Lepisosteus oculatus: one gene and its partners. The protein of the gene in region 3 interacts with the protein of the main gene of each other region in a pairwise test. Links are inferred from orthologs where the notes say so. Each region holds a gene or a part of one and is shown on either strand. Other genes may lie near its edges. The genes, in order: mkln1, oprm1 and ranbp9.

Evidence for each region.
Region 1: the proteins of ranbp9 (region 3) and mkln1 interact in a two-hybrid assay, tested with the Homo sapiens proteins (2 studies listed by BioGRID). The link is inferred for Lepisosteus oculatus from reciprocal best matches to the Homo sapiens genes RANBP9 and MKLN1.
Region 2: the proteins of ranbp9 (region 3) and oprm1 interact in binary tests that used the Homo sapiens proteins (3 or more experiments, as listed by UniProt). The link is inferred for Lepisosteus oculatus from reciprocal best matches to the Homo sapiens genes RANBP9 and OPRM1.

What each region holds. Positions count from the first base shown.
Region 1 is NC_090702.1:43,871,490-43,878,237, reverse strand, and holds the start of mkln1 (muskelin), read right to left. Parts: upstream 4,363-6,748; 5' UTR 4,325-4,362; coding exon 4,245-4,324; intron 1,615-4,244; coding exon 1,545-1,614; intron 1-1,544. UniProt on the Homo sapiens protein: Component of the CTLH E3 ubiquitin-protein ligase complex that selectively accepts ubiquitin from UBE2H and mediates ubiquitination and subsequent proteasomal degradation of the transcription factor HBP1.
Region 2 is NC_090712.1:1,882,197-1,888,944, forward strand, and holds the start of oprm1 (mu-type opioid receptor), read left to right. Parts: upstream 1-3,024; coding exon 3,025-3,278; intron 3,279-6,748. UniProt on the Homo sapiens protein: Receptor for endogenous opioids such as beta-endorphin and endomorphin. Receptor for natural and synthetic opioids including morphine, heroin, DAMGO, fentanyl, etorphine, buprenorphin and methadone.
Region 3 is NC_090701.1:20,159,964-20,166,711, forward strand, and holds the start of ranbp9 (ran-binding protein 9), read left to right. Parts: upstream 1-2,053; 5' UTR 2,054-2,375; coding exon 2,376-2,592; intron 2,593-6,748. UniProt on the Homo sapiens protein: May act as scaffolding protein, and as adapter protein to couple membrane receptors to intracellular signaling pathways. Acts as a mediator of cell spreading and actin cytoskeleton rearrangement.

The DNA of each region.
Region 1 (6,748 bases), on a different chromosome or scaffold from region 3:
ATTTGCTCAAGGAAACAAGAACAAGTATATGCTTTTAAAGGAACAGAATGCGTACAAAATGTGAGACATAACAGCAAGGGAAAGGGGATTTAGGAGAAGTCTGCAGTAAAATGTAAAAATAAAAACATGTATTAGTCTGGTGCTTTGTCTTCTGAAAAGGATGATGGATTTTCACATGAATCAATATGACTATGATGACCCTTGCATAAATGTACTAGTCTAGTAATTTTGATCAGAAACAAATACAGCTATTACTTGATTTTTGTAAATTAAATGTACAGTATTAGGGCAAACAAATTAAAAATCTGATTCAATTAAGAAATATGAGTCAACTCCAGGTCAGAGACACACAGAACCTTCCATATTAAAATAAGCTCTCCCATATGCAAAGCCACTTTCCCCATCAAGTCTTCTACTGTATGGCCATGGTAGAAAACCAAGTAATTTAAATGGGCTTTTGGCTCAGGACCTGCATGACACATAATGCCAAGCAACCAGATGCTGCCGAGTTTATCAAAGCTCAGTTTTATGCGTAGTGCCATTATCTCAAACATGTCAAATTTGCTCATTTTAATTTTGAACATTGATCGAAGCTTTATATACACAAGCAAATAACAGTGCATGCAACCATTAAAAAAAACCCATGCACAAGGTATATGCATTAGATATAAGCATTCATACCAACTTCTGTTAGGTATTTGTGACATCCGTGTATGGTACAAAAAGGTCTTCATTCCTACTCATCACAGCCTTGATTGGCCAAAGGATTAAAATTTTAATAAATTACGCACTTTTGCCATATAAGAAACAACAATATTCAATAAAATCGTACTAACACTGGCAAAGATGGTAAAAAAAAGAGAACAAAGTGAGTGTTAATTTAAACAGTAAGTGGCTCTATTTTCCACTTTCGATTTCCTATGCCCTTAACCACAGGACATGTCTTCAAAACACCACAAGTTGCTGAAGTTTAATAGCCAAACTAGAAATCTCATAATTTAACCTTTTTAAAGCTTCCAATATTACTAAACAGAGGTTTACCAGACAGGGAAATGAGGAAGAAATGTGGTGAAGAGAAAAGAGCAGGCTTTAATTATCTCTTCAACTACAAGAGAAATGGCATGGGATGATGCCAGCACTATGACACTAAGATACTAAAGCACGAAAGAGCTCAGTAATTGCAGCTTCTCGGGATTTAAAGACATTTACTGAATTTATTGACTTCTTATTTAAGTAATAACCAATCAAATGTTTGCAACAAAAACCTCTCTCAATAGCTTGAACTAGGTCTAAAAAATGCAAAAGCATTCAAATAACTGAGTGCCTTACACAGTGCAACACTGATACAGCAGAGCATAAAGACATCAGTAATCTATTTCCTAGTAATCTAACACCCTCAATGACATCATAGCAAAGCACTTTACAAGAAAACAAAGAAAGGAGAAAGAGAGACAGGTACACTCTGATGAAAAATTAAACAGATTAAAAAGTTACATATCAAACAGTATGGGCTGAAAGACCATTCTATTATCGTTTTACAGTACCTGTGGGGGGTAGTTGCTCTCAGAGGACCACCTGGAAGACTGGTCGTTAGGTTTATCCACCAAAATATTCCTAAAAAAAAAAGTGAGATTTTAGCATCTGTATTTAACTTTATTGCAGCATTCACTACAAAACCAGGCAAATGTATTTGGTGGAAAATTCAGTTGTAGACAAATGTATATTCATCCTTCAAAATCATAGGCTTCTGACTAACAACATCTTTAGCATCATCAGTACCTGGAATACCAATTAACTGTCATTATTTGCAAGAAAATATGAAAAATGTCATAAAAAAACATTTAAACAGCAACAAAGCTTTCTTTGATTTGTGGGAGTGTAGGATACAATAAGTACACCCTCTTTTAAACATACTATAGGATTGTCAAAATGTCTTTTTTGTATAAATTATACACGTTTGCACTAGAATGTCTAATACTGAAGCACATGGTCAAATCATTAGCCATTAAATCATACCCTGTAAGACCAAGACATATACAAATAAAGTCTCATGCGGATAATTTATTAATAATGGGATTACTGGTAGTTTAGATCTACCTGGTGACACAAGGCATTTGGAAAGGAAAAAATACATAAACAAACCACACACAAAGCTCTTTTACCAAGTAAATCTAGAATGTTTTGGCAGGTTTAACATAATTTCTCACACAAATAAGAGTGGTATTTTCCTGAAGCACTACAGGAATTTTGGCAAAAAATTGTGTGCTTTCCCTCCTCAGGTGAAATTGATTTTTGACCTATTGATGAGAATATACAACTACTTTATTTACAAGCGGCCCTAGATGCCTACGTTTTAAACAAGCATCAAACTCTTGACAAGTTCAAAGAACATGGTATTGAACTTCAAAACTGACTCTCAGACACATAGCTAACAAAGACATGAATAAAGGTTAATGACTTACAGTCCACTGACGTCAACAGTAAACACTGTGCCTAAGTTAAGGAAAACAACTCCCCACAAATTCGACTAAACCTCTCCTGTGCTGCCTAAAGGGGATCTACAACACCTTTAAAGCTGAAACTAATAAAGATGCACTTTTCAAAATCACTTCAGTTAGGATAGACATGGATAGAACTAACATATATATATATAAGCTTATGCTTTATATACAATTTTAATTTGATTAAATGCAGACAAACTGCAATCACTGTTCACATTTCAGGTACAAGTTGATAGGCACTAAAAAACATCTATGAAACCAACTAGTGATTAATAAAACAATATATTTACCTGACCATACAAGTCAGCTGACACTAGTTCAGCACACAAATTCTCTCAGTTCTTGGCAAAGAAAAAATGGACGGCTTTATTGCAGTACTCACTAAAATCAGGCAAATGTATTTGTAAAATAGATTAAGAAGCCATTTTCTAAGGTTTTCACACTGTAATAGATAGCTACCATTTCCCCTCAAAATTAAAAGAAATAATCAGACAATATACTACAACAGGCAAGTTATATTTGTTTCCATGTCACTAGCAGCAATTTTATACCTTAAGAACAGCTAGTTTTACTCTGCAGTTTCCTTCTTTAAAAATACACAGTGTGAGATGCACAAGCCTAGTGCTTTAAGATGCATTTACAAGACATTCCAAGTTCACAATCTATTCAAAGCCCCAATATACAACTTACATCTAGACAAGCACTTTAAACGTAATAGTTTGTGTATCCTAAATCTTTACCCAGCTCTCCAAGCTACTGTGCCCTTTTTAAAGTACTGTAATTATCTTATATTACCAATTTAAATTTTTGGACGTTTACTACTGAGTTACTTTAAAAATATGAGAAAAAATAAAGCTGTGGTACCGTGCATTGATAACCACCTAAGGCAGGCTACAAATTTACTCCAGAGATCCACATAACAGTAAAATGTGAGCCTTTTTTAAAAAAACACAACACGGTTTTGAGGACTTCATATCACAGTCACTTAATGCTGTAAATGCAGACAAATATCACAAAGAAAAATACTCTATCACAAAATTAATATAGCCAAGTCTTGTTTGGATTTCAATTGAACTTTTCTATGGATTTTGAGCCTTTTAAGGCATATTAGTCACTGTATTGTGTGTTTGCACATATAAAAAAACAAGGCACCGTACAAGAATGAGTATATTTTATCTTTTAAATTTTTGTATGTTGACCTGGTGTTGAACATAAATAACAATGTTGATACTTGGTCGTATCAAATTACCAAGCGGGCAAGTTGACGAAAAACACTATCTGAACGCCTCCAAACTGCCTGTCATCTCCTAGCAGGTTCAACAATTCAATTACATCTTCGTAAGAAAAGCACAAATTCCAAGTTTAATAATCCAATTCGAAACTCTGTTGTTTAAAACAAGGCCTCTGTGCATTATTTCCCCGGCAAACTAGATCATTCTATTTTCGCCTTTCTTTTAAAACAAAATGCACTGAATCTCCCTTTGCATAAACAGTAAAGCAAACCGTTTGAAAACGTACTTAAAATATATTTGACGAGCATTCACCTATCTAAGAATGTTTGTTTACGTTTTGCATTTTGTTTTTAAAAAACGCATTTGAGAGGCCAGGATATTCCGCAGGAGGGGTGTGTGTTAGGCCATGGATTCCAGTACTATGAAATACTAAACGAAAAATTCGCGTAAATGCGCATACCTGCACATAAAAGAGAAAAAAAAATAGGTAAGTGTGTGAAGCATTACTCACTCTGGTAGGTACGTAGAGGAGTAAGAGCTCCATTTAAAAACACTGTAGCAGAGGACTCTGTTCTCTGGATTAGCCGCCATCTTGTTGAACAACAGCAGAGATGGGAGAGGAAGGCCGACAGCTCTTAAAGTGACAGTGGACTTGGGTTTGATGACATAACATCTAACAGTAGACACTGCACCCAAGGTTAGGGGCAAACTAGGGTCACGGCTGGTGGTACAGTATGTAAATTGTACTCACTAATCTTTCAACTTTATTTGGTCAAAATGTGCTGGGGATTAGTAGTATTTTGAACATATTTATATGTTGAATCCTTAGAGAATAGAATCCAATTGCGATTTGGCACGTTTGTAGTTCACAAGTGTAAACCGAATTAGTACTTACCATGATCAAAACACCTGAAAGTCAGGAATTAAAGGTACCGACCTGGACGACAATACAGTATGTATAAATATAGCTCTATAAATGTCACACAAGCTACACTAGAAAGAAAAAAACACTACCGTTCGTTTCACAGTTGGCAGCCGACGTGTTGGTATTTCTAAATTAAAATGCAGTTTTATTATTTAAGTAGCGATCTAAACAAACACTATTGAGAAAAACTTCTTAATTAACGGGTACATTTCATAAATCGATTACATTTTTGCTATATAGACCTACAATATACAAGATACCAATGCTCTCTCACCTTTAAGTTATATTTCAGTAAGTGGTGTTTCACTGGCTTGATGCTGGGTCGTCAGTGAAACGACAGTACGATCGCACTTAACTGACAAGTAAAGGAAAAAAATGAGCCTGTGGTTTCAGGCTAATCTGTAGCCAGTAATCCTGGACGCGGGAGATAAGAATATATATTTTTAAATTCATGATTTGTTTGTCATGCCAGCCTAAAGTCGTTTCCCATCTCCCCCGATTAAAGCAGATAACATTAAACCTTTAAAGTAGGAAAGATACGTTTTAAGGGTAGCGGTGCCGTTTTTTAAGATTATTTACTAGGGTAGTACCAGGATCTTCTGTCAATCGAGAATAAGAACAAACCCATATTTAAGTACAGCATGAATCGCACGTAAGATCAAAGTCGATTGTTTTTCTTTTTAAGCTTCCTGGACAATTTTCAGCACATCTGTGGAGTGCTAAGAATTTAAAACATAGTACAACGGTATGAATAGCAACGTGTATTTTAATCTGTTAGGCCCAAATGAAGCCCCAACAGTCGCTCGGGTAGCAGGTGACAGTTTTTCCCCCATAGGCTCACTAGGGCTGGGACACTTTCCTGAGGAGAAGGCCGCTTCAGAGGCGACTGTAGCTCAGATTTTTCTTTAGTATCAAGGTTTAAAAGTAAATGAAGGAATAGTTCATGTTTACAAAAAAGTCCAATGATTTATACCTCATAAATCATTATGAGGTATATATGTTTTTTTTACTTTTATTTTCTATCAATATGAAGCAAATAATTATTTTTTCCTAAAGTATTTTTTTCCTTATCACAATCCCACTTTAAGGCAGAGACGTTTTCTATAGTGAGAGCTTAAAAATGGCTCCTAGTGTTGATGGGACTGTTTTTACATATATAGATTACTTCACTACATTTAAGGCTTATTACAGCTTCCTATTGTTATTAAGAAAAACTACAATTTTATGGTTGTATTAAAAGGGAGATAAAAAATCAATAAGGTATGAAGCTTTTACAGTAAGTAAGCAATCATATTTTGCTACCTTTCTTCATTATTATCCCTAAGGCCTAAAATATAGACAAAAGGTTAAGATTCATGTAACATGGCAATATTTTAAATAGACATTAGCCCCATTTATATAGTGGTTAAACTTATAGTATTGCCCTGTTACAGTTAATAGAAATGATTTGTTTCATTGATTTGCTAAAAAGGCATTAAGGAATGTTTTCCACAGCACACATATTTTTGATGCTTGTAAATACCCTGCAATGCTGTCATCTGCAATGACATAGGGTTACATCATTCGCAGTTCATGATCTAGGGTTGTAGTTTATCATGCAATCATTTTCTTTCCAGTGTAAGATCACACTGACTGAAAATGCCAACATTCTCCAGAACATGAAAAGCTGTGATGTGACTAATTAGAGAACACAGTAAGTTCTAGTCAGTGTTTTGAAAACATACAACCAAATAATAATGTGCAAGCAATGGCACAGTACATATTAGGGTATTGCATTTGTACTTCACACTTGACAGAGTTTCTCTTTAGTACTATTTTCTATCATATGTAACTAAGACAGAGAAATTGACTTAGATAAGATATTCTGTCCTGTTTTTATAACAGTATGACTAAGTATGTTTTCTTTTTTTTAAGACAAGACAATTATAGATGTAAACATGTTTATGAGAATTGAAATTAATGCGGTTTGTTATTTTGGTTGGCTTGTTAACCTTACTATTTCCTTTACTTGGAAATCCCCGAATATAAGAACAGAACAGGCACCAAAAACGAGCAGTAGAAAAATAGTACAAAGTCTTACTGTTCTGGAT
Region 2 (6,748 bases), on a different chromosome or scaffold from region 3:
CAATGTTGTCAATATTGTGGTGCATGATTTCCATATCAGCTCCCAGTGGGTGCTGCTGTGTCTGTGTGGGCGCACAGTGTGAAAAGAAGACGATGAAGTGCTGGCATACCCTCTGTCTTCTCCTGGGCAGGTGGGGGCTTGCAGCACACACCTGAGCTGATGGGAGGTGGTAAATCTGAGGTCGTCAGGAGCTTGGCCACCTTGATTTGATTCTTGGGATGACATGTCTTGAAAGAGATAAATATTTTAAAAGGCAGGGGAAAAGAAACACTGTGAAAACACCTTATTATAAAATATCGCAAGTCGCAGAATGCCCGATGCAAACTGGTGTGGGGAAATAGTGGCACTACACCTGAAATCGGTAGATCAGATGATCCGAAACAAAAACAGCATTTAGAAATAGACCTGTTTCTTGATTCAGCTGCTTCTGAATCAAGCTACTATTTCGAAGAAAGGGTGTTAGAAGGCATCCTGGAATTAAAGGGCTCATATGCTTGAAGTCCTTATATATTACTGCAACAGCCTTAATTTCTCTTCGCTACTGGAGATCAGGTTTCTACTGATGTTGAAGTACCTCTTGCCGATTTCCTCCCAGCCCACATGTGAGCCCAGCTCTGGTCTCTTCACTCCCCTCAGCAGAGCCCCGGCGTTGCCAATAGCACCCAGATCTCAGCGCCCTGCCAAAGCAGTGAAGAGGCCCGGCTGCTGTCCTGAAGCTGCTCGTTTGGATTCTCACTCCGAGCTCGGCTGATTTTTGGCTTGTTTGTTCTGCTCTTTCATACCAATGAATAAGCAGACTCTTCAGTACTGATAGCCTGTCTATCGCTCAGCAGGCTCACAGTAAGTAGTCCTCACTCTTTGCCAGATATGGTCTCAATTCTTGAGCTTATGAAATGGATCTTTAACCCTGGTGATACAGGAGATGTTCACTGACTACACTGTCAATACTACCACTAACAAGAATGCAGCTCATCAGCTTACAAGCTCTTTTCATAGGTAAGATGGTTTTCTCTCTTTTTCTTCCTACATGGGACCCCCTCTGGAATCCTCTTTTTTTGCCACGGTCCTTTGAGTGATTAAAAGGACAGCCCTCTTATCTCAGCTCAGCTGGGGTGTGAATGCCTTGATCAGTTCTGACTCAAGGACTTCAGCTTCAGTCTCAGGTTCGAGCCCAACTTGAATCCCATAGAAAATGGCTGTTGACGATTGCAGTCCATCAGCGATCCCCTTTAAAGAATGTGCTAGGATGACTGAACACAATTGCACCATCCAACCATGCAAAGTGATGGAGACCTACCCAAAAATACTGACAGAAATCGTTGCTGCCAAATGAGCCTTAGGTGGCAGAATACTTAACGCAATCAATACATTGCACTTTGTGTATTTACTTTGCAGGTTTTGCTGACATCTCAGTTTCTGGGGTGCTATCTGTGCAGAGTTTGCATGTTCTCCCTGTGTGCCTGTTGGTTTCCTCCAGCTGCTCTGGTTTTCTTCCACAGTCCAAAGACATGTCGGTAGGTAAACTGGCACTTGGTGTGAGCGTGTGTTTGTGTCTTTATCGTGCCCTGCCATGGAGTGGTGTCCTACCCAGGGGGTATCCCACCTTGCTCCGGCTACCCATGCAACCTTGCACTGGATGACTGGATTCGAAAATGGATGGATGATTTTGCACTTTAAAAAAAGATAAAAAGAAGTCGCAATATAACTTCAGTATTCCTTTTCCTTTGCCTTTTAAAGGTTTCAGTTTCTTTGTTTCAGATCTCGCCACAGAGTGCTCTAGACAAACATTTCCACACGTTTTATTGGGGTTCTTCTATAAATACCTTCTATAGATTTTTTTTGCAGGACTTCCTTCATCGAAAATATATAAACAATGGATCCGGTTCCAAGGAATGGCATCGGAGGGTTTAAATATTCAGAATGTTTTAATTGCGTCATCAATCACACTCCGAGACGAGCGTATTATGTGAGACATCTCAAGCCTTGTGATTTGCAAATTCTAACACAATATTGGGTAATGTAAAGGTGTTTTTGGAGGAGGATGTTAAAGTCTTAGTAACGTTAGATTTAACAATTTCTTGAAAGAATTATCAGTAACAGCCTATTAAATCCATATGAAAATAAACCCATAACAAGAACAAGCGAATTTTTACAAATGGGTGGATAAGTGCAATGAACATAGTTTCTCTCATGAGACAAAACCTAGCATTCCTATCTGAGTTCAATACTGAGGCGCAATACAACTCTACAGTATGTACAACACCAATGTAACTCTTACTGTATAAACACAAAACTGCGCTAGAACCAAAGACACACGGAATTGATTTCAGAACCTGATTAACCCCAGGTATTTTTTGTTTTTGATTTTTGTAACACGTATTAATAAATGTGATTATTATTATTATTATTATTATTATTATTATTATTATTATTATTATTATTATTATTATTAAAGGCTTCAAAAACCTACACACAAACAGGCGTCCGATTTAAAGAAGGATTATTTTTTGGCCGTGGTGGGGATGCTGTTACTGTACGTGGTGCAAAGCAGATAGCGCAGCATGATCTGCTTGGGGGCTGTTTTTTAAATCGACGTAATACAAACTCTCCAGCTGATAATCAATTCAAACCAAGATTCCTTTTTTTTAAGGCTGTCGGGTGGTCATGTGGTTTATAAAGTGACGTAACGTGGCTTGATAAAACGAGAAAACGCGACGTGAAAGTGATCGGCTTCAGCTGTACGTTACACTACGGGCTCTCCAGACGCGTGTCTACAGGATCGACAGTATTTGCAAATCAGGCGGCAGATCCAGAGAGCTGACTAGCTACAGTACCTGCCACACGTGTTGAGGCAACGGGTCCTGCGTGCAGGGGGGCACAGCGACAGTCCAAGCAGTGCCGTTTCCCGCAGAGGTACAGACAGAGAGACTCTTCGGCTGAGCTGCTCCGAGCCCGAATTGCCTGCTTGATTCGTTTATTGATCGCTTGATTGATCGATTGGTTTCCTCATCGATCGGTGCCATCATGGAGAGTGCGGGCAACGGCACGGCAGCAGGGAATCACCTTGCCTCCCCGCTGCTACAGAACGGCACGTATTTCTGCAGGAACCTCAGCGACCTGTTACTGCTGGAAGGCAACCTGTCAAAGTGTGACAGGGCGGACGCTCTGAACAAGGGCTCGACTCCCATGGTCATCGCGATAATCATCACAGCGCTCTATTCCATAGTGTGCGTCGTAGGACTGGTGGGCAACGTGCTGGTCATGTATGTCATCATCAGGTAAGGCGCTCGGAAGGTCTCTGAACCTGCGATCATGTTAGCAGCTGCGGTCAAGGTAACACTGGATTGCTATGACAACTAACCGTGAACCGCCCTTAACTCCGAGGGTTTCCATTCCTTACAAAATTACGGCTTTTTAATCCTGGAAGATAACGCACATTAGAATAAACCAAACTCATATTCGTTCTGGTTAGTGGTCATTAAAGCAAAGAAAAAATCTGTACTCGTATAGTTTATAACTGAGTTGAGTTTGATTGATATTGCAGTGCATGCGTTTATCTTAGCCTTAGTCAAAGGGACATTGAAGCACAACTTTTCGGGCTTTCTGTTCACGAACCATTAGTGCAGCGCCGGACCGGATAGACAGATGTGTACAGTAGCTGTCAAAGAAAAGGCGGCGTGCGCAATATTTACAAGAGTTAAGTCTCCCGTTCTCCTTTGCTCATGATTAAAGCATTCCAGTCCAAGTGGAGGAGTGGAAGTAGACACCGAAACGAAAGCGTTTATCTGGTCCTGCTTAAGTGCCTGAAGTTCCTGTGGGCAATTACTGGAGACACCGAGCTCGTAATAACAGTGGCCGGTATCTATGCACCTGTCTACAGCTTATGCTGATTGTGAAGGGCAGCCAGGCAGATATGAAAGATGCTTTGTAAATGCGTGTTCTGACATTATCTTGATTTGATTCTTGGGATGACTTCTCTCTGAATAAGAAATCAACTTTCTCCTGCACAAACAATAGTATGCATAGAAGAGCGTCGTGTGTTTAAGACATCAACCACTCGGGACAGCTGTATACTGTACAGTACCCCGCGTATAAACAGCCTTGGCTATTATTTCTGGAAGCAATAATAAGATCTCGTCTCGCCAGGTCGTACGCGCTACCCCCACCACCCGCATTCCTCTCCAGACTCCGGCTGCATGCAGAGTTATTTAACAGCCGTTCTTGTTGGAGACAGTTTATTAAAGTAGGTCTTGTCATTAAAACACAATCAGCCAAGTGCACTGACTGCTCCGGGAAAGTCGCAATGTAGATTTCGTCGCCAGCAATCGTAATCTTTTCAAGTTTCCAATTGCTTTAGACAAAGAATCGCGAATGATGTGATGCTATCCTTTATTTAACGGGTGAAGTTAAATACCGAGAGCCAATTCTCATTTACACAGACGATACAGCAGGTGAGATGCGGTTCCTTTACCGAGGGTACAACTGGGGCGTCCTTTCCTGAATTTGAACGCAAAACCACTATTCTATAATGAGGACAAGCTGTAGACAAACAAGACTGGGGGACTTGGGGAGAGGAGAGATGTAAGCCCGTCAGGAACAGGGCACCTGTCTGCAGTGACACAGTCATTGCTACTGCCACTAGGCAAATGACATTTGTCTCACTGTTCTTTGCCCAGCATGTTCTCACTTTTTCCCCCACTTAAGCCAGATTCAGTCAACAAAAGCCTCAAATTCAGTGTCTGAGGCTTTTATTTCTGTCCAACACCAGCCTTCCCAGGCTTGTTTTACTGGGTTAGCTGCATGATGCAACTTCACAAACACACTATATTACAAGTTGATCCTTGCATTTATTCACTACTATAACCTTCTGCTGCTTTTTAAAAAAAGAAATACACCTGTTTTCAGGAAGAAAGGAATACACTAATAAATGTTTCTTTTTATCCCCTGAAATGTTGTCCTGGATTTTGTTGGCGATGTTTGTTTTTGTTGAGTTGGACTCGGCCACAAAACAGATTTTCCCCAGGGGACAATAGAGCTTGCATTGAATACAGCCGGTCACTGGGACATTAGTGACATGGTGACATGGTGACACAGTGATATACAGTAGTGACATAGGAAATACAAAAGCCCTCCAGGTCGTTTTCATTTAGTACAGCTGAGTGCTTTTCCCCCAGAAAATATTGTTACCAGAACAGGTATAGCAAAGATTTCTTCAGCCTTATAGAAATGCACAGATCTACAAACCAGCATTTTGCTTTTTGTAAAGGATGGAACTTCAGCTTCACCCAGGACTATGTTAAGCTTCAGAGTAATCATTGTTCAATTATTCTGTGCCTGATAGTGTTTACTTTGTTTTTTCATCCTTTTCGACAGTCATCACCAAGACTAAATAACAATAATAATGATTCCTTACACTTATATAGCACTTTTCTGGACACTCCACTCAAAGTGCTTTACAGGTAATGGGGACTCTCCTCCACCACCAGTGTGCAGCCCAACCTGGATGATGCACCAGTACACTCTCCACACACCAGTTCTTAGTGGGGAGGAGAACAGAGTAATGAAGCCAGTTCATAGATGGGATTATTAGGAGGCCATTATAAGTAAGTCCCAATGGGAAATTTGGCAAAGGATACTGGGGTTACACCACTACTCTTTATGAGAAACACCCTGGGATTTTGTAATGACCACTGACAGTCAGGACCTCACTTTATTGACTCATCAGAAGGACAGTATATTGTCCCCATCACTATGCTGGGGCATTCGGACCCACACAGTCCACAGAGTGAGCGCCCCCTGCTGGCCCCACTAACACTTCTTCCAGCAGCAACCTTAGTTTTTCCCCAGGAGGTCTCCTGGTACTGACCAGGCTCACACCTGCTGAGCTTCAGTGGGCTGCCAGTTGTGAGTTGCAGGGTGATATGGCAGATGGCAAGTATTTCTTGGTCTTTTAAAAAATAGGTTTTTCCCAGTGCACTATTTTCAAATGATCTATAAGCCATAATCATTAAAAGAAGAACATGAAGTTAGAGGTTTCACAAAATCCCAAATGTTTTAGCTACGGATTTTACATGTTGACTGAAGTACTGTGAAATCCCTGATTATATTTACTCTGTAACCTCTGTCAATTAAGGAAATAATGTGGTGAGACAAGGATTTTATTTTGCTACCTTGCAGCCTGACTTCATCTGATCTTGGGAACTTGGCAATACTGGGCCTGGTGGGGACTTGGGTGGGAGACCAGTCCTGGTGGAGGTAGTGGCCCAGTAGGTGGCGCTCTTCCTTCTGGGCCAGCATTTCCAACCCAATGTCCCAGCATGGAGACAGGGGACACACCGCTGTCGGGGTACTGTCCTTCAGAAGAGACTTTAATCCAGGGGTCCCAGGGTTCTTGTCCAGGGAAAGATCCATGCAGTTGCGTTAACCCCAGCGTCCTGGCTACAGTCCTGTCAGGGCGTGTACAATCTGGCCTTCCTTAAATTCCACCTCAGCTCTGCTGGTGAAGTGATTTCTCACTCCGGCGCCAGGCCTGCTGTGCAGGGGGGCCACAGTGTGTCGGCCAGGTGGGGGAAGTGAGTCCCCACCAGGCAGTATGTAAACCACTTAGAGTGCTTCAGAATAAAAAGCATGATTTAAAGGTGATGTAAGGAATTATTAATATTGTAACTGTTACCAAGCATTTTTCTTTTAGTAGTAGGACCTGTAATTTACATTTAGGGGCCATGGTCAGGATGATTTATTAGTCTTG
Region 3 (6,748 bases):
TTCAACCTAGTATTGTTTCCATTTCACTTACCCTATGTTTTTACTTATTGTACTTACGCATAGTACAATAACATAGATGCTAACGTTTGCTATTCATTACTGGCAAGATACCATGTTTGTGCAGAATGTCTACAGAAGAAAACTGTAGCTAAAATTTGAACTTGCTAACTTACCACAGAGTTTCAGAGAAGTTACCCAAAGCAGCACGTAATAAGATTTGTCACAAATGAGAAATGGATTAAGGGAATAATGTAAAAATTGAGAAATTAGTTCATTTTACCTTTAAACACTTCATTACAGAAAACCTCTGCAATATGATGCAAGGAATGTTATGTGTTTAAATTAATGGTTACCGTTGTAAATCTAGAAGCTGTCAAGAAGGACAAAAGGAATTTGAACACCTGATATAACATAAATGTTTATATAATAATATAATTCATATAATTCTATATAATATATAATTAATTCTCTAAAGCAGGGCTGCCACACTCAATTTCCTCAAGGCTGAAGCACCTTCTGGCTTCTGTTATAAGCCCTTACTTAGTTGATAGAATTATTTGAACATTTCTTTTTCAGCTCGGAAAGATGCAGATGTATTTTAATAAGAACAAATAAAATAGGAAAACAAAATACAGTGTTTCTCCTGTTGAGCCATCTTCATTTGCGAGTCAAAAGAAAAAGGATCAACAGCCAAAAAGTTGTATTTCTATTTTTCAGTGTGGAATTGACCTTTACTTGTTCCTTTGCAGCCAACACACACTGATGCAGTTCTCCACTTGATGTATATCATATATATACAGTGCCCCTAACACATAACTTCTGATAGGAAAGAAGGCGTGTGTGTATCATTTGTAATCCAGCAACATTTGAAAAGCTGTAAAGGACATTGGAGCAACATTGGAGTGGATCAAGAATAAAAATCTTATGTCCTCGAGTGGCTCAAAGTCCTGACCTAAACTCCATGGAAAATCTATGGTATGATTTGAAAGTTGTGGTCCACAAGCACTATCCAATAAACCTGAATGAGCTACAACCAATCTGCCAAGAGGAATGGGAGAACATCAGGTCTAATCAGTGTGCAAAGCTGTTAGACATCTACCCCAAATGACTTAAGGTGGCCTATGGTGGCTCCACCAAATATTAATGTGTGGGGTCTGAATACTTATGCAAGCAGCATAGTTCAGTTTTTGTCTCGCTTTGAGATATCTGCTGAAATTTCTAAACAAATTTGAAGTAAATTGTTTTTGAGCATGTGAGTGTGCAATAAAAATGTTGATTGAAGAAGATGTGTATTATTTGTGATCCAGCACCCTTTGAAAAGTTGTTAAGAGTCTGAATAAATTTGCAAGCCACTGTACACATACTGTACATTTTGTCGAATCTATTTAAAAATATAAAAATATATGTATGTGTACATAAATCATGCTATACCTTAAGCTGCTTGGAGTAATGGAAGGTCTGTTTATGAAAAACAATAAAACTGCATATATACATACAGTTTTGTGATATATCTAATACTGTATATTGAACTGAAACTAGTGTTGCTCTTAAACCCAGATGGTGGTCAGTGAAAACAACCTTCAATTATTTCTGTTTCTCCCTAGTGGAGATTGCAGTTGGTGTCAAATGATGTTGGTTTAAAATGCTCACCAGTTCACTCTCTAAATTTTCATTAAATTGCTAGAAGAATGTAAACTGTATCTTTAAAACTGTTGCTGTAATGTATCTCTCCCTGCTGGTTTTGGACTGGAACCTTTTGCACTGAAATTGCAACGACGGTGCTAAGTAGAAGATTTAGTGTAACCACATTTTAGTTTTCAAATCACACGCATTATACAATAGTGATATAAAATAACCTCCTCGTTATTACAACCTAATTATGATGAATTATGTGATGATGATGTTGATGACGACAAAGATTAATATTGTACTGTTAGTAAGCATTCGTTTCAATGTCACTTCTGAATTTATCAATGCACTGTAATTTAATTTGAGGAATAATAATATATTTTATTTAAATCTGCTACTTATGTCTGTTCTGCTTCTCGACTATTTTCTTCAAAAATAGGGGGGAAGGGGGGATCGCGCAGTGGAGCATTGATTAGTCGCGCCTGGCAGAGGGAGAAGTGTGTTTTTTTAGTTTGACCGGAGCTTGTGGGCTCCAATCAGATCTGGGGATCATGCACTAACAACAAACAAAAGAGCTATCTGTCCATGTCTGGTTTTAATTGTGTCCGTCAGATTATTTGCTTTGTTTTAAACTAGTAGCCCTTTTCCCTCCTTCTTGCGGCATTTAGTAAAAATTAATTTATTGTTGTAGTTGTTATTGTAGTTATTTAGTATTTTTTTAATAGACAAAAACAATCCCGATCGCCATGTCCGGGCAGTCATCGGGCTGTGGGTTTCTGATGTCGGTTGTGGTTCATGGGGACTCAGCGCTCAACGAGCAGGAAAGGGAGCTGAACCAGCGGCTCAGGCGGCTGTATCCGGCGGTGAACGAGCAGGAGACCCCGCTGCCCCGATCCTGGAGCCCCAAGGACAAGTTCAGCTACATCGGTCTCTCCCAGAACAATCTCCGGGTGCATTACAAAGGTACGGAGGGGAGGGGGGCTGCGAGAGTGACGTGTCTTCCAACAAACGTGTACTTTCCAAGCGTACCCCAGGCAAAGATTTAATACCCACCGACAAAGAAAAATGCTAATAAAAAACAAGCAATCCCCGCATCAGGAAGGGGTACAAAGACGCGGCCTCTGTAGTCTATAGCTAACAAGCCGAGACATCTTTGGTGCAGGCCTGAACAGCAACGAAATAGTGACTGCGATCGTTGTAAAATAACCCGTGTTATTTTAAATGTCACGGCAGCTTTGGCTCGTTGTTACTGTGCTATGTGTAATATATATATAAACAAAATGTGATACGACATTATTTGGTGTTATCATATATTTTTACTTTTTTTCGATCAGTTGTCGAGTGGTGATCTAAAAAAAAAACCTATAGATCGGGTTTTCCTGTTGCTCATATATTACAATGAACTCTGGGCCGTAGAGGAAAAACAAATACGGGATGGTTCTTTAGCTACCGACTACTGTACTTGCCGTAAGACGCAGAGCAAGATTGCTCAACCCAGTTTTTCAGGATTAGTTACATAAACATGAACAAAGCCAGCGAAACAGCTGGGAGAGGACTGCGCAGAGACTGTATCTAAGTTCAGATGTTCAGAAGGAGTCTGATATTTGTTCTGTTCAAAAAATATACATATGGTGTCTGCCCTAGAACACTTTATTGTCAAACCGATTATTTTTAAGCATCTTCAGTTGTCCTGCATTTGCCGCAGTTTATGAGACAGTTGGACAGGCCTGTACACATGTGTAACTACTGTTCGTTCGTAATATACACACATTTCCCGAATAGAAGGATTATCATAATACATGTGTGGTTGATCTGTTCAAAAGTGTCAAACTAGACATTGTGTTCTCATGAGAATTTATTGTCTTGCTTTTAACCAGAAAACCACAGACGATGTACTAAGTGGTTCTCAGGACGGTTTGGAGAGAGTACACACAGCAGAGCAGTGCTAAGGGTTGTACAATGAACTGTATTGTTAAGGATGTTGGGTGTTACATGAGTGTTAAGAGCTGCACTAGGCCTTGAAACAACAGGAAGAGAGACCAGAGTGTGTGAATTTTCTCATGCATAGTCCTCTGAGATGAATAAAGCTGACCAGAGTGGCTCTTATTGTTACTGTGAACACAAGAAGCAGCCTATCAATTTCACTGAGAGCACACAGATGCTATAAATAACCCCTCTTCTTATAAGTCTTCTGATTGTTAACAGGTGTTGCTTAATTTTCGTTTGTCTTTGATGTAGTTATTTTTTTCTCTAAAAAACACAGATATTCTATATTTTTTACAGACTTGGGGAGGAAGGGGTGATACTATCCCCCAAGGATTTGTGAGAATGTAGATTTTATGGCTAGGGTATCGAACTTGGGGGCTTGCTCCTTCTGTAATCCATTTGAATCCTTTAATTCGGTAATCTGTTTATTTTCTCACATTGAACATTATTCAGTTGTTTTTTTAATACTTATTTTATGCATATTTTAAAATAATACATGGCAAGGGCCAGCCTTTAATTTAATATACAGTAGCTATGAAGTGTTTTGAGACTTGAAAATATTTTTAAAAATGACTAGTTAGCAAAATACCTGGGCCATTTAAGTGATAGGAAGTACAGAAGATTCTGTGTTCCTCTGGGATTTGGACACTCATTTAATAAGGTGTTTCGTATGTACAGTATAGTAGAGGGTTGCATACTATACATGAAAAAATGATTGTCATTTTAAAATGTAGAAAACTGTATTAAAACATTTTGTGGCAAGTCTATTTAGGAAGATTGGGGAGCTGGCTTTAACAGATTGGTAAAGACAGATCCACCAATGACAGGTGTTATTCCTCTAACACAATTTTATCATTTAATTTTTGAATTTGATATGGCATGACACCAGCATGATTCAAGCATTAGACATTTAATGATTTTTTGAAAAAAGGTCTTTCAATTATTTTACTTCTGTTTTTTAACTGCTTTACAGGACTTCATTTGGACATTTTCATTAACAGGGTGTAGTTTCTTAGGGGCCAGTTTCCTTAATTTCTTTGAAAATGACGTGAAAACACGGACACATTTCATTTCTTTACATTCTACTTTAATTTGAATTAAAAAACGAATTGAACTAATTGCCTTAATTGCACAATTTAACATGAGCTCGCTACACATTTTAGTACTGAGTAGGAAGTCTGTTTGATTTTGTATTGCTTTTCAGAAGAAAAAAAACGTATGCTGTATTTTACCTTTAGGGTATGCAAAATATGCAGATGTATTTTTCTAATTTATACCAGGAAATTGGTTAATGTCAGGCTAACTTAAATATATCATTTACAGAATGTCAATGTATATATCCATGCTCTCATTGCTCTCATTGCTCTGATACATTGGTGTAAAAATGTTTTCGAAGTGTGACAATCGGAAAACTGAAAAGTGTTGAATTTCCAAATTGAAATCCACAAAAATTGGTGTAGTGTAATTGGATTTTGAATTTTGAAGTCTTGTTTGCCAGTCAGTATTCACATAGTTTAAGACTCCTCAGCATTTCACATGCTTCCCAAGTTCACCAGCTGCTAAAGCTGTGTTGGACTTTAACACTTCAGATTCCTGTCCAGGGTCTCCAAGCTCGCACATCTGTCTGCATCCTCTTGTCTGTTTTAGAAATAGCCTAATGACTGGTCATTTCATTCTTTTCCCCTTCAGGCCCGCTACTTGGTCTGTCGGTTGTATTATTTTTAATTATTTTAAGATTTGGAATGGCTGCTTATTTTTCCATTTTGCTCTCGCCCCAAGTTGGAATGGTTGTGGATCAGCTTGGCTTGGAACTCTGACCCTCGTATTCTTAACTGCATGGGAGGAGTTATGAAATGCAGGCTATGCTCCAAAACATGTGCTGTCAGAGCCACCTGCCATATTTTGCACTGAGTGCCCAGAGGACTGTTGCAGCTCTCCCTGACAACACACTCTGTACTGGCAAGCCTTAGAGTTTGCTATGGCACCTCAAGCTATGGGTGTCCTGCTCAGCTCCAGCCCTCTAATTCCCAACAGTACACAGGAGGCGTTTCTATGTAACACTTGGCTAATGACATAGTCTGGTGATGGCTGGACTATAGTGCTCAAAATGCACTGCTTTTAAAATTTGAGTGCTGTGTATAGTATCTGAAGGAGTCCTTCCATTTTCAAACCACTTTATCCAATGCAGGCAGCTGGGGCCTATCAGGGCTTGAAATTCATTTTTGAAAATTAGGGGGAATTCCCCCTTTACATGAAGCTCATGGTTGGGGGGGGGGGGATTTCAGCAGCTTGGGGGGCAATAATAGTTGACTAAGGAAACAAATGTATCGAAATAGTTCATACACGACACGAGCTTCCTAAGTTCATTGTAAATACAGGCCTAGCTTGGCAATCTGTTTTTCATTGCCAGCCACCTCTCCATTAAAGGTACAAGAACATAACTTAGGGTAAGGATGATTATTTTTTTATCCTCTACCTCATCAAGCAACCCACATATCTGCTTTTCACGCTGTCAAAGGCAGGCTTTGGTGGTATGACCATCGTGTATAAATGGCGGATTTGCGGGAATAGCTCGAATTGTGCGGCATACCCGCCACTATCCCGCGCCGAAATTCAAACCCTGGCCTATCCTGGCAAGCGACTGGCTGCGAGGCAGGATACATCCCAGATGGGATGCTGTTTCATTGGAGGGCACACACAGACAGAAACGCCCATGCTCCCGCCAGTATGTCCTTGGACTACGGGAGGAAACCTGAGCTCCCAGGGGGTAACCCATGTGAACTCTACACTGATGGCACCCAAGGAATTGAACCCAGGGCCCTAGAGCTTTGAAGCAACAATGAGCTGAAAGAATCAGACAATCCAAAACATTAACTGCAGGTTAATTCCATATTGAAAAGCAAAAAGAAGAGGAGTGAATCATCCACAGTTGAATTGTTGTGGGTTTCCCTCGTTCTCTTCAATTTGTACTTATGAATTAACCTTTAGGTGTAGTTTTTTCTCTGCAGCCACTGCATTGTCGCAGTTGCAGTTCCCAACTCGAACCCTTTTCAGAATACAGAAAGAACACGCGGGGGGCCAGAAAGAAAGACGGGAAGCTCTAAAAAGCATAGTAACTTTCAAACGCTCTTGC